Neurospora crassa OR74A: one gene and its partner. The protein of the gene in region 1 interacts with the protein of each later gene in a biochemical or structural test. Links are inferred from orthologs where the notes say so. Each region holds a gene or a part of one and is shown in the gene's direction. Other genes may lie near its edges. The genes, in order: mus-41 and NCU02113.

The links.
Region 2: the proteins of mus-41 (region 1) and NCU02113 form a complex in vitro, tested with the Saccharomyces cerevisiae proteins (3 studies listed by BioGRID). The link is inferred for Neurospora crassa OR74A from reciprocal best matches to the Saccharomyces cerevisiae genes RAD5 and UBC13.

Annotation. Positions count from the first base shown.
Region 1 is NC_026503.1:36,002-40,524, forward strand, and holds the start of mus-41 (DNA repair protein rad-5), read left to right. Parts: upstream 1-1,690; 5' UTR 1,691-1,876; coding exon 1,877-3,650; intron 3,651-3,718; coding exon 3,719-4,523. Other genes in the region: NCU09517 (hypothetical protein), read right to left, coding at 1-807, 894-1,072. UniProt on the Saccharomyces cerevisiae protein: Probable helicase, member of the UBC2/RAD6 epistasis group. Functions with the DNA repair protein RAD18 in error-free postreplication DNA repair.
Region 2 is NC_026501.1:1,237,477-1,241,611, reverse strand, and holds NCU02113 (ubiquitin-conjugating enzyme E2 13), read left to right. Parts: upstream 1-1,640; 5' UTR 1,641-2,191; coding exon 2,192-2,244; intron 2,245-2,319; coding exon 2,320-2,408; intron 2,409-2,517; coding exon 2,518-2,649; intron 2,650-2,731; coding exon 2,732-2,913; 3' UTR 2,914-3,514; downstream 3,515-4,135. Other genes in the region: NCU02112 (hypothetical protein), read right to left, coding at 1-917. UniProt on the Saccharomyces cerevisiae protein: Has a role in the DNA error-free postreplication repair (PRR) pathway. The UBC13/MMS2 heterodimer catalyzes the synthesis of non-canonical poly-ubiquitin chains that are linked through 'Lys-63'.

The DNA of each region.
Region 1 (4,523 bases):
TGTGTTGCGTCGACCCCACCGCTGGAGTAGATATGCTCTTGTTCTCCCTCATGCTCATAATCATGGCCCACCTCTTCCCCGGCCTTCAAGTTCTTCAACATCTCCCTCGCCGTTATCAAATGGTCATTGGCCCTTGTAGCCACCTTGAACACGGAATCCTGCAGTCCCTCAGCGTTGGGTCCGTGGCGAAAGACATCTTCTTCTCTGACCCCCACCTCGGCCATCACATCGAGGGGTAGTAGCAGGGCGGGATGCCGGGTGTTGCCCACGCTCCCAGCCGGACCCTGGATGGGCTGCGATGGAGCGGCGAGAACGGGAATGCCGCGTAGTGTGGCTACGATGCCGCACGCCTTGCCGATGTGACTAGCCAGGTGGTCCATATGTACTGATCGCAAAGGCATGGAAGCCAAGGTCACATACATCAGCGTCGCGTACGTATTCTCGGCGTAGTCTTCCAGCGAGTTCAAGCTGACAAAGGGCCTGTTTTCCATGTGTTGCTCGCGCGTGTTGATCAAGCGTAGGAGCCAGAACTTGAGAGAGCTGGCGCTGTTGGGGCCGGCGCGGGCTTTGAGGTCTTGGATGGCTTGGTGGAGGAGGATGGAGATGGGCTCGCGTGGGGGATTGCCGGCAAAGACGCTGTTCACGGTTTCACGCCAAAAGGACATGCGCATGCGTGCGATGGTCGGGTTGGAAACTGTCTCGGGGAGACGGGCAAGTTCGAGGTTCAGGGTACGGAGGGCGTTGTAGGCGTCCCGAGAGGAAGGAGGGACGAATTGTCGGAGGAGAAAAGCTTCGTAGTCACCATGTCTGGGGTGGGGGGAGAAAGAGTTAGCAGAGAAAGAAGGGCAAGTGGGAAGAATGGCTAGGTATGGGGAGGGAAAGCAGAGACAGACTTGAGCTGGTTCTCACAGTACTGACGGGCCTTTTCGACGTCGCCGTCTGTGACTGTCGCGAGGCCTCGTCCGGAGAGGGAAGGCTGCCACGAAGGCCTCTGAGGCTGGAGACGTAGACGGGGCCGTAGAGGTGCCCGCCCCAGGCCATGACAACAACCTGCCGCTCGAGGGGATATCATGATCAAAGAAGCGGTACTGTTTTCCCCGCTGTCACAAAGTGGTTCACATCTCTCACTGTAACAAGAGACAAGACAACCTCGGCAGCAGCGGGGAGGAAGACAAGCCGACGACGACAGGACATGTTGATTTGACAATTCGCTGAGACCATGTTACGCTGCGCCCCTCAGCATCACAAGCGCGGCGCCTCTAAAGCCTTTATGGTTAGCAGCGATGACGGCATTAAATGGCTTCAGTGGCCCAAGCTTCTGGCTTTCCATACAATCCAGTACTGGTTTGCTTGTTAGTTCGAGACCTCGCATCAACTTTCCGATGCGTTTTCATAGCTAATCAATGCGTGATCTTACCATGGATACACCATTTGTAATATTCTGAATGCCATATCAAATAGTACTAATATCTTTTAACCTTTATACCAACTATTTCGATCTCTTCTTAGAGGGTTTAGGACTAATTGGGATAGATTAGGTTTCGTCTAGTGTATAGAGTATGGTACAGTACCTAGTGTACCCAGCTAACAAACAACCCAGCACTGGACTGTACACTGCAGAGGGCGTAATTAATTACCTCTAGGGTGGCGCGCAATCACCTGACAGCGGGAAGGCGGAAACGAATGCACGCCAAAGTTTCACGGTTGCCACGGCACAGTCGCGTCTCACAGGCGCAACACTGAAGTTCACCATTGCAGTTGGTGCATTCGAGTCGGTTGGGTGACAGTAGCTGACTGATACCGTACACCCGTGGTACGACTACCTAGAGGTACTGTACCTACCTTGAACCTAATGGGCTGAACAACCAACACCTGGATGGACCGACACGACACCATGGACTTCACCAACGAGCCTCTCTCCAAGAAGCGCCGGTTCCTGGGCGACCAGGGTGATTCGGACCATGTCGCTGGCGGCCCCAGCTCGTCTCCCCAGTTCAGTGCTCCCCCGAGCTCACCACCCAGGAAGAAACTCCTCCAAGACCCAAACAGTGAAGTCCAGCCACGAGTTTCCAAAGATGCGGACCACAATGACGACGACGACGACGACGACGACGACGACGACGAAGAACGCCCAAGATTCTTCACAGACGATGGCACCCTAACGCCCCACGCCACGAAGATATGTGCTCCCTGGCTCAACGACATGCCCAAACCAGACCCTAGAAAAGGATATCTCTTGAAAGACGTCGATACTCCGATCGCGACACCCCGGGACGTGGCACCCCCAGTGGTCGAGTCCCCCCAGCTGGCCTTCGACAAAGACACATTCGAAGCTTTTGTTGGCGAAAAGGTTGCGTCCGATATCCTCCACGTCATCAGCAAGAACTGCGGCAACAACATCGAAAGAGCCGTCAACATGTACCTGGATGGAACATGGAAAAAGCTGCACCGGGCGCCTCCAGTCAGAGTCAACTCGCATTCGCCCCTGGTTGTAGGAGGTCAGTCTCCCAAGAAATCATCAACATCACAAGCACGGTCCCGGTCGCACGCTCAAGCCCAACCACAGCCGCAATCGAACACACCAACAAAGGTTCTCCCATCAATGCCAGACGCCCGCTACGTCGGCGCATTTGGTGTTGAGGGATGGGCTACCAGAAGCGGGACAGGCCTCCTCAGACACGGTGACAGCGTCAAGATTGAGCGCCAAAAGATCCAACCACCTACCGTTGCAAGAAAAGGGCAGACCAAGCCTGGCACCCCGCAGTCCATACCACGAGTCAGCGCGGCAGCTGCCAAACGTGTCGATGTCATAGTCCGCTTCAACGACGCCAGTGGCAGGGAACTCGGCCGTCTAGCCAAAGACACAGCCAACTGGGTGTCAACGCTAATAGACCAGAACATCTGCAGATTCGAAGGCATCTGTGTTTACGCGCCCGAGCGTCTACGAACGAACGAGACCGTCTTCTTGCAGCTCAAGTGCTACATGCTACGGTCTGCCTTCTTGGGGAGAACCCTCCAACTAGCCGACAATAGGGCTGCCGGGTTCCACGAGAAAGACGAGACAACAGAAGAGAAGGACCTGCGACTGAGACAAGTGGCGCTTGTCAGACTGTTTCAAGAGATCAACATTGTTCCGTCTCGAGGCAACGCCGCTGCCGCCAAGGACGCCAGGAAAGACCTTCTTGAAGCAGCAGATTCGGCCGAGAAGAAGGCGATGGACAAGGCCAAGGCTGGGGACCACAACACTAACGGATTAGCTTCTCCCCCCGAAGAGGCCGAAGAGGGCCAGGAGCTCGAACAAGACCAACTCGACGCGCTGTACAAGAAGGCCCAATCCTTCGACTTTAGCACCCCCGAGGCTGAACCAGCTAATACCTTCGCCATGACCTTGCGTCCCTACCAGAAGCAGTCGCTGTACTGGATGCTGGCCAAGGAGAAGAACCAGCGAACAGAAGACCGTGAAACATCCATGCATCCCCTATGGGAAGAGTACGTGTGGCCGACCAAGGACCATGACGATAAGGACCTACCTGTGGTTCCTGACCAACCTTGCTTCTACGTCAACCCATACTCTGGCGATCTGTCACTGGACTTCCCCAAACAAGAGCAGCATTGTCTTGGTGGAATCTTGGCAGACGAGATGGGACTTGGTGGGTTTGCCTTTTACATTTTTCTTTTCTCTTTGACCTGATATCCAGCTCACAGTCATGTATCACAGGCAAAACCATCCAGATGCTTTCCCTGATCCATTCTCACCGATCCGAAGTAGCCATCAAGGCGCGGGAGGCTGGCCCTACCTCGGTCAACAACCTCCCACGCCTACCAACAGTCTCTGGACAGAAGACGACAATTGACGCTCCGTGCACAACCCTTGTGGTTGCCCCCATGTCCTTGCTGGCGCAATGGCAAAGCGAAGCTGAGAATGCTTCCAAGGAGGGCACGTTCAAGACCATGATGTACTACGGGGCGGAAAAGAATGTCGATCTGGTGACCATGTGCTGCGAAGCCAACGCGGCCAACGCTCCAGATGTGATCATCACCAGCTATGGAGTCGTCCTCTCCGAGTTTACCCAACTCGCCACCAAGAATGGAGACAGACTCAGCAGCCGCGGGCTTTTCTCCCTCAACTTCTTCCGTGTCATTCTGGACGAAGCACATAATATCAAGAACCGCCAAGCTAAGACCTCCCGCGCATGCTACGAAATTGCCGCCGAACACCGCTGGGTCCTCACCGGAACCCCCATTGTCAATCGCCTCGAAGACCTCTTCAGCCTGGTCCGTTTCCTACGCGTTGAGCCATGGAACAATTTTTCCTTCTGGCGGACCTTCATCACCGTCCCCTTTGAGTCCAAGAACTTTGTCCGCGCCTTAGACGTCGTCCAAACCGTCCTCGAACCGCTCGTCATGCGCCGCACCAAAGACATGAAGACCCCGGATGGCCAGTTCCTTGTTCCGCTTCCGCCCAAACACATCGAGATCGTCGACATCGAACTCTCCGAGCCTGAAAGGGCAGTCTACGACTA
Region 2 (4,135 bases), on another chromosome or scaffold:
CCTGAGAACATGGCCACGGGTTCTGACGCGCTCGGAGCCTCTGGGGCGGTTTGCCGATCGTACAGGTAAAGGTTGCCCGGTTCATTCTGTGGCATGGCAAGCAAGCCGTTGCCAAAAGGGGTGTGCCTAGCTCGCCATACTGGAAAGTCGGTGCGAATGACACGCTCTGGTTTGTCGGTCTTTTCGTAGTTCCAGAACTTGATGGTTTTGTCCAAGGAGCAGGTGACCAGGCAGGGGGCATCAGTCCGATTCCAGTCGATACCGTAGATTTTGGACGTGTGAGCACAAATGGTCTTGAGGGGTTCGACAGTCTTTCGGTCGTCCCAGATATGAAGCAATCGATCGTGAGCCGAAGCAATGACATGAGGGTCTTGACGACTGTATTTGACCTGCGTTGCACCGGCAAACCAGTCACAGAATGACAGAGCAGGCTGTCTCGGTCTTCTCAGATCCCAGTGATGAACATAACCGTCAACTGAGCAACTGGCTAGAAGATCTGGGTGGTGAGCGGAAAAGTTAATGTCGGTGATGGCCCGACTATGGGCTTGCAACGAGTGCTCGATGGCTCCAGAGGGCGAGTCGTCCCTCATGTTGAGGTTCCATACCAGACAGCGATGGTTTGCTGTCGAAGCCACCCAGTAGTCACGAGCTGCAAAGGGAGACCATTGAACATCGACCACCAGCCACGGGAGGCCATGGCTGCTCAGTCTTCGTGGTGGATTCCATGGCGAGTCCAGGTCTATGATGGCGAGGCCCTCGGGGGAAGCAAGAGCAACATCACGGCCCGAGGGTGAGATGGTGGCGGAGCCCACCAAGCCATCAACATGGATGGTCAGGTCGGCATCGAAGCTCTCACTGTCGAAGGCTGACTTGATTGTTTTCGCCTTCTTTGGCGGAGAGTCAAATACGGAGGGCATATTGCGGGATCAGGATTGGACGAGACGGTGCAGCATGGTGCGTATCCTCCCTCATCCCATTCTCAGTGCTGGAGTTTGACTGAAGTGGTAAACCAAGGATGAGTTGGGTTGAGTTGAGTTGACGGGACTTGACGAGACTTTATGTTGAACTAGACCAGGTCCCCCAAGGACGAATAACCTGGCATTCGTAGGGCGTCTCGGGAATGGTGAAGTCGAATGCAAACCGAAATGATCACAGGAGGTCGTCGTCGTCGATCAATGCAAAACATATCGAGAGGCGTCGATATCAGCGGAAGAAAGTGTGAAGGCCGGCAGGTTGGAAGACAACTGGACGTGGAATGGAGAAACCGTTCGACCAAGATGGAGAATCTCTCAGCTCTCTCTCTCACACACACTCTCTCTCTTCTCTTCAATTGGAAGGTCAACCTGACAACGGCGTCAACCTCGACAAGGCGCCGATGAACAGTTGGAGACACGAACGGCACCTCACTCAGCGGTGCAGTGGCAGTGACTTTGGCCAGTACACTACACTAGGTAGGAGGTACCTTCTCGATCATGTGGTCTGTGCGCTTATCGCGAGATCCCGATTAGGTAGAGGAATGGATGATGGAAGCCGATTCCATCCCATCACATGGATCCGCATGCCTCTAGCCCAGGTACCTAGGTAGGCCACCTCTGGCTGTCGCTGTCAGGGCCGTGACCGCTGTCACAGGGCATTCAGTGGTTTGGTCAGAGAGGCACGCCGCGGGTTCATTCGTCAGCGCATCCCACACACCCGACCTTCTTCCACTTTGCCTTCCAGTTCCATTCCGCGTTCCATCATCGAGAACTTCCCGTCCCGCCTTGCTCGTGAATAATTGCCCGTGTCGCAAGAGATTACCGTAGGTTCTGCCGATTTCGACTTGTCTCCAACAAGTTCACAAGGAACAGAATCGACTGCCTTGCGACGATTTTGGTCTAGCCATACCTACCTACCTACGTACCTCTACTACCGCTTTTACCACACATTCCCTAGGTTATTTACAGGCCCTTTCGCACCGTGATAGCGCAGTACACTGTTCGTTACTGTTTGCCTCGATTTGTCAACCGGAGCCTCCGAAACGCCTCTTTAAACTGCCCTCTGACATCCAGCATAACAATCGGCGATAGCCCCTCCACTTGCCCTCCTGTCTCTCCCAGCCTCAGCGACAAACATTTTCCTCACCACCATTTCTGCCACTGGCTTGTCGAGCTTCCTTTCGCACTAAACACCAACAGCAATTAATCTAATCACCATGGCGCTTCCGAAGCGGATTGTCAAAGAGACCGAAAGGCTGATGGCGGAGCCGTACGTACATACCATCCTCATCCCGAGAAGCAAACAGTCTAGACCAAAGTCCTAACTTCTCCTTCCTGATCGCAGTGTCCCGGGTATTAGTGCTGTTCCCCACGAAGACAACCTTCGCTATTTCGACGTCGAGATCCACGGCCCTTCGCAATCGCCATATGAGGGTTGGTCTTCCTTGAACCCCACGGCTGCCGTTACATTCATCTCTTACCTTCCGTGCGCCATGAGAACATACCACATGATCGCTAACAGGAGAACCAAACACCCACACAGGTGGTGTCTTCAAGCTCGAACTCTTCCTTCCCGATGACTATCCCATGACCCCTCCCAAGATCCGCTTCCTTACCAAGATCTACCACCCCAACGTCGACAAGCTGGGTCGCATCTGCCTCGACGTCCTCAAGAGTGAGTAGTCCCGAGAAAGAAAAGCCGCGATAGTTGGATACGCCAGTTCCGAAAAGCTAACACACGATACCAAACCCGACAGACAACTGGTCCCCCGCCCTCCAAATCCGCACCATCCTCCTCTCCATCCAAGCCCTCCTAGGCGCCCCCAACCCCGACGACCCGCTCGCCCCCGACGTGGCCAAGACCTGGAAGGAGAACCCCAGCGTTGCCGTCGCCACCGCCCGGGAATGGACACAGCAGTACGCCTTGCCATCCCAGTAGGGTCGGAGGCTGGCACCAGGAATCAACGAAATCCCGGGACAGGGCCTCATGGCTCACGCGCCGACATATGACCCTTATGGAGGAAACTTTGACCCATATCGGTTTGGGCCTTAGGACGGCAATTGACAGGAGCAGCTGGTTGTTCTGGTCTTGAAGCAGAGATGAATCACCAAGGCCAGCAAGTGGCTGTGGCAAAATAACAGAGAGGATCATAAAGGGAAAGCAGTGGAAGAAGTTGGTCTAGGTGTTTGTGTGAAGCACGGCGCTGGTGGTGTATCATGCACCCACCTAGGGTGCATACGGAACGCACAAAGAGAAAGCCCGTGAGAGGGGAATGAGGAAGGGAAGGCTACACGAGATAAGGAGAGACAACGAATACTGGATCGATGGACGAGGAAGGGGCACGTATGATGGGTTGAGTGAAGGATGCCATGGTGGATGCAACAGCGCCACGCGGCGCCAAGGCAGACACCAGAAGGAGGAGTTTTCGAACATAGAGAACATCCTTTCGAAGCGTTGTGTTTTCAGGTGTTGTTTTTTTCGCAGCGATAGAGTACCGGGTAGGGCTGTTCAAATACTACTTACATATCTTGCAACATGACCACTGTTCGGATTTGCGTCTGTGAGTGGGGTGGATGAGCCTTTGGATCAGATGTAGCGGTAAGCTTCAATAAACTCACGATAACACATATAAAATGAAGGGCGGTGTGGTTTATACTGAAAGACACCGGCCATCTTCACAACCAGTAAGTACGAACACGATTGATTGCTTAGCTTCTGTACAAGCGAAAACACTGATACCTGCAGTCATCTTGAATAGACACCTATAACCTGTTAATATAATCTCGAGGATTCCAGCCGGGATGCAAAGTCCAAAACTTTACTATAGAATACATAGAGTGGTTAGGTAGCCATCGGAATGGAATGGATGGTTCCAAGGGAGTTATCAGAGGGAGGGAGGTTCACAGAGGAATTTGCGACAGGAGGAATTCCATTCATGAACTAGAACCCCCAAGTTCCTTCCCTTTTTTTTTGGGATGGGTGGGAGGGATGAAAGGAGGGCCGCGGAAGAGGACTGAACAGATGGACCGACTTGGGACGGGAGATAGAGAGGTTGTGGAGAAGTATATCTATCGAACGAGGAGAGCACTACTACCTAACTAAGTAAGTACCACAGACAGTCTTTCGGAGGACGGTGCGTAACTTCAAACTGATATCTGAT